Linked DNA regions of Tribolium castaneum. The protein of the gene in region 1 binds, or shares a complex with, the protein of each later gene. Links are inferred from orthologs where the notes say so. Each region holds a gene or a part of one and is shown on either strand. Other genes may lie near its edges.

Region 1 (2,883 bases):
ATTTCAACGAACAGGTCGGCTCGGATCTACCGGAAACTATCGAACAAGAACTTAAACAACTAAAAAAGAGAGTCAATGACATGTAGATTTATTCACAAATCTCACTTCAAACATTTATTGCAATTGATAAATGTAACTACTTTTTAGGCTTAGTTTTGTATCAAAGTATTTTATAAGAGATTAATTTTTTATACAAGTTTTATCAAAGGTATTCTAAATAAATACTTTCAATTTACAAGTTCTTTACTTTGTTATTTAACTTAAAATTATGCTTAGTCATTTCAGAAGAAACCGGAAAATTATCACACATGTTTTTTAAAAAATCTTTATTATAAACAGATTCATGATTTACATAAATCAATAAATAAAATAAATAAATGCTTCAGGATTTAGTCTTGAGTATTTGAAAAAATTAACTTTGATCCTTGACCTTTCTACCCATAGATAAAGGCGTAAACGTACTTTTACTAGGTGGAGGATTCAATTTACTCGTGATATGAACAAAAGGCTCATATAACGTAATTCTGTGCATTGCAGATGCCGTAAAATGCCTCAATTTCTCTCTATTGCACCAGGCCGTGGCTTTACTCAACGTAGAGTCAAATTCCGTATTTTCAGTCTCTTTAAATTTATTTCCTATCACAATTATAGTAACCTATAATATCAATAAATAAATAAGAGTCATTTTTTTAGTTGGACACACCTCTTTTTTATCTTTATTCTTATCAATGTCCTTCTTGAGTGACACTAACATATCAAGTGATTCTGATTTCTCGGTATCATAAACTAAAATATAACCGTCAGCAATCGCCAAATAGTGTCTGGGGAGCTGCTGGTTGGTGGTTCCACTAGCTGTGGCCGTTTGGAGCGGTTCAAGGCCCGCAGTGTCATAAAAACGAACTTTTTCTCTTGTGCCTTTATCCGACTCAATATTAGCGACGTAAATGTCTTCAATAGTAGAATGTAACTCCTAGAAACCCCTCATTTAGTAAATCTTCAGCATTAGGACTGTGATACATACACTCTTCGAGGTTATATTACCGTAAATGACTTGCTCCAAAACTGCGGTTTTACCGACCCCTTTCATGCCGCATATCACTACTTTTGATGTTTTACCCATTTTGGGGCTGCCTGGAGTATTGTTTATTTCAAAACGTCAAATTTGACACCTGTCGTTGTCACAGGTGACATTGACAAACAAATACCAACGTATCAAAAAATTATTAATCATAAAATTCGCAAAAACCAAATGTTTGGATTTATTATCGATTATTTTGATACTTGATCAGTTCATTGTGCGCAATTAGTGATTGTAAATTGCTTAGCTAACTCGATTACGTGTCAATAAATGCGCAACTATTTTTTCGGTTTGTTGGCTATCCTGCTTTTCGCTGTTCTAATTCCTAACCTCAAACGTGACGAGAACAAATTTGAAAATTCCGGCAAAATGGGCAAAGAAAGTAAAAGTAGTGAAGACAAGTACTCGATTTTACTACCAACATACAACGAAGTGGAAAACTTGCCGATTATCGTATGGCTGATTGTAAAATACATGGAAAAGAGGTGGGGCTTTTATTGCTTCTCTTCCCATTTTTAAAGCCACGTTTTAGTGGATATAATTACGAAGTAATCATAATCGACGATGGAAGCCCCGACGGGACGCAAGATGCCGCCAAACAGCTCCAAAAAATTTACGGCGAAAATAAAATCTTGCTAAAACCAAGAGAGAAAAAGCTGGGACTGGGGACTGCTTACATCCACGGAATGAAACACGCCAGTGGCAATTTTATTCTTATTATGGATGCGGATTTGAGCCATCATGTAACATGCATATTTTTCGTAAATATTACCTAATAGAAAAATTTTAGCCTAAGTTTATCCCACAATTTATTGAAAAACAAAAATCAAAGGATTATGATGTAGTCTCGGGGACGCGTTATGTGGGCTCTGGTGGTGTTTATGGTTGGGATTTTAGAAGAAAATTGATTTCAAGAGGAGCCAATTTTCTAACACAACTTTTACTAAGACCTGGGGCCTCAGACTTGACTGGTTCTTTCAGATTGTACAAAAAAGATGTTTTAGAGAAGTTAATCAAAAGTTGTGTTTCAAAAGGTTACGTTTTCCAGATGGAAATGATTGTGAGGGCGCGCCAATTTAATTATACCGTCGGGGAAGTCCCTATTACTTTCGTTGATAGGGTTTATGGGGAGTCTAAGCTTGGGGGCTCAGAGATATTTCAATTTGCTAAAGCTTTGCTCTATTTGTTTGCCACCACATAATTTTATATTCTGCATTCCAATAATTATTTGAAATAATAAATGAAACATTTATGTATGTTATTTTTTAATAAAAGTGCTTCTATGAAATATTTAAATTGTTTTTTATTAATATTGAATTGAAAAACATGTGACCGTGACACAATTGCCACTAGCGCCACCCTATCAATCCGTGTCGACTTCCCCAACTAGCGATCATATGACATTTGCCTCAATTCAGGTGTACTCGTACTCCGATTTCGTGGTGAATTTTGAGTGAGAATGGCAAGTCAAACCCAAGGAATCCAGCAACTCTTAGCTGCGGAGAAGAGAGCGGCTGAAAAAGTGTCAGAAGCCCGCAAACGTGAGTGTTTTTTGCGAAAAAAGCCCAAACATGAATCGCAGTGGGCGTTCATGTTTGACAGTCACGAGTTCTCAATTGTTTTACAGGTAAGGCCCGAAGGCTCAAACAGGCCAAAGAGGAGGCCCAAGATGAGATTGAAAAATACCGCAAGGAACGCGAACGCCAATTCCGCGATTTTGAGGCGAAACACATGGGCTCTAAAGAAGGGGTTGCTGCCAAAATTGAGGCGGACACCAAACAACGAATTGAGGAGATGAACAAAGC
Region 2 (2,301 bases), on another chromosome or scaffold:
CACCCTGTATATTATATTAAAATATAATTTGGGTTTGTAGTATTCGGCTCAATCCTCGACAAGTCAATGTGAGACAGTTTCGCGTCCAGGAGGTGCCCCGCGAAATTCGTAAACGTTTTACGGAGACATCGGAGGGGCCCCAGCAAAAGAAGCCAAAGGCTGATGAGGCTTTGCCCGGACCTAGCGGCCTCCAGCCGATTCCAGAAGAGGTAAATGAGTCTGATAATGAGAGGGCCCCCTCACCGCCGCAAGAGCCCCCCTACTATCGTAGGGTTTTTTTCCGCGGTTGTCCCGTCATACAAATCGAGAATCTTGATGAAGTCAAGAAGGACTTTTCCGTACCGTTGAAACGACTGTCTTTAAGGGGGTACAAGAAGATTACCAATACGGCGCTACATTACATCAAGGATTTGGAACTCGAATTGTTAGACGTGACCTATACGAGTATTACAAAGGACGCAATCGAAAATTATTTAGTGGAGCACCCTTCGTGTCGGGTGCTCCATGAACAGTTTTGTACGTGCCCCCCGAATTTGCATTTTTAGTTTTCGTGTAAATATTGTGATAGGGAATGGAATAACTACCGTTTTTTGTAATAAATTTATTTAAATCGGAAACCTAACTTGGCCAAATCCGCCCGTGCCTCCACTATCTCCTAAAAGACAAAATTTGGTAAACACACAAAGTAAGGCCACACATTTACCTCTTGCAACTCCGCGGCGGCTTTCTCACAATCATTGAACGTAAAAACACGATACAAAACAACAATTATTGCGTAAATCTACAAAAAAGTGAAAATGTTTCACATAACCTCACTTTGACTCACCCCAAATAAACCGACAAAAATAACCGGGGAATAAAACACGGCAGTGGGGTATTGCCTCACGAAACCAAACTCGACCGTGTTCGTCACTAGAGACAGCCACACGGCCCCCAAAGCCCCCAAAACGGCCACCCACTCAAGTAATTTCGTCATGTTAGGTTATGTTGGTGCAAAAATGAAAAGTCCCCAGGAAACATCTGCCAAAAGTTTGGCTATTTTTGTCAAAATTTGAAAGAATTTCCCAAAATTGTCGATAATTAAAAAAAATCACTCGTTGATGATAAGAGCACGGGACGACTCGAATTCGCACGACTCGATAAACAATGCCTCTGACAACAAAGACTTGAGTAAACAATAGAAATTTTGAAATAATTACAATGGAACTGAGTACAGTGCGCTTTGTGCCCAAAGGTGAGCTTCCAGGGGCGCGATTTGGCGGTTTTGAGACAGTTTGGGGTTCCAGATGGGGGCAAGCGCAGCGCCAGGGATTTGGACACGCTCAGGGCGCAGATCCAGAGGATTGACGGGACCACGGTGAAAATCCCTCCAGACCAGTCATTTGTAGACGTTACAATACCCGAAGGGAATTATTACTTGATCCGGTAAGTGACAAGATTACGTTTTTTAAGATTAGATATGCAGTGGTTCAATAAGTGTTGGCAAGTGGTGGCAACATGTTCAAGGCGCTCAGAGGGGCGAAGCCCCAGTACGTCAGGCTTGAAGCGTAAGTCCGAACCTTGAATCAATTCGAGGTCGCTTTTCACTCAAATAATGAGAGCAAAGAGCGGATTTACTTTCACCGACACTTCAGTGCGATTTTTCACAATGTTGGGTCGGTGGTTGTTGTGATTTTGTGCCATGTTTGGGTACAACCGGAAGTATGTGGTTCGATTTTTATCTGTTTGTTTCATTTTTCAGTCAACAAGTTTGATTTTTGCCCATTTTCACTCAAGTCGTGCACGTGATTCAATGAGTTTTTTGTTGCGAATAATAGAGTAAAGCCTTGAATTGTGCGTTAGCTAATATAACTGATAAGTTATAAATAATTGTAGGTAAGCGACGCAAGTATTAGCTGCTTATCTAATCGTTCTTTTGAATACAAAAAACATTTCACTGTTAAAATTCTTGTTGCGCCATTGGTGATTTATTTACCAAATTATTTCCTTTATTCTCAGGCTCGTGTTTTTAAACAAAAGTGAAAATTATTTTTTCTTTCTTTGGTTCCAATCCAACTCTAAATTTAATGCTTGGTAAAATTTACTTTCTATTCAATGTCAATATTATGCAAATAAATGTGCAACAAAACGTGATTATAATCACGTGGCCTCAATCTCTCTAAAACTAAATTATATGACTTGGAGAAATTTGCAAATAAATTCTGTTCTAACAATAAGACAGTTGGTGACAATGTGAATAAATTTTTGGTTGTCTGATGCTTTAAATTCTTGTTGTTTTTTCTTTTCCGTTTTATTATAAAT

Evidence for each region. The genes of interacting proteins can lie anywhere in the genome.
Region 2: Dpm1 (region 1) and Dpm3 share a complex: the UniProt entries of both Homo sapiens proteins name them as parts of the dolichol-phosphate mannose (DPM) synthase complex. The link is inferred for Tribolium castaneum from reciprocal best matches to the Homo sapiens genes DPM1 and DPM3.

The regions. Positions count from the first base shown.
Region 1 is NC_087396.1:17,388,784-17,391,666, forward strand, and holds Dpm1 (dolichol-phosphate mannosyltransferase subunit 1), read left to right. Parts: upstream 1-1,348; coding exon 1,349-1,563; intron 1,564-1,610; coding exon 1,611-1,821; intron 1,822-1,868; coding exon 1,869-2,279; 3' UTR 2,280-2,368; downstream 2,369-2,883. Other genes in the region: phosphoenolpyruvate carboxykinase [GTP], read left to right, coding at 1-86; kappaB-Ras (NF-kappa-B inhibitor-interacting Ras-like protein 2), read right to left, coding at 413-655, 704-970, 1,022-1,120; V-type proton ATPase subunit G, read left to right, coding at 2,538-2,619, 2,706-2,883. UniProt on the Homo sapiens protein: Transfers mannose from GDP-mannose to dolichol monophosphate to form dolichol phosphate mannose (Dol-P-Man) which is the mannosyl donor in pathways leading to N-glycosylation, glycosyl phosphatidylinositol membrane anchoring, and O-mannosylation of proteins; catalytic subunit of the dolichol-phosphate mannose (DPM) synthase complex.
Region 2 is NC_087401.1:8,499,682-8,501,982, reverse strand, and holds Dpm3 (dolichol-phosphate mannosyltransferase subunit 3), read right to left. Parts: upstream 977-2,301; coding exon 827-976; intron 782-826; coding exon 704-781; intron 656-703; coding exon 602-655; 3' UTR 546-601; downstream 1-545. Other genes in the region: uncharacterized protein LOC656609, read left to right, coding at 41-545; ATP7 (copper-transporting ATPase 1), read left to right, coding at 1,201-1,234, 1,287-1,425. UniProt on the Homo sapiens protein: Stabilizer subunit of the dolichol-phosphate mannose (DPM) synthase complex; tethers catalytic subunit DPM1 to the endoplasmic reticulum.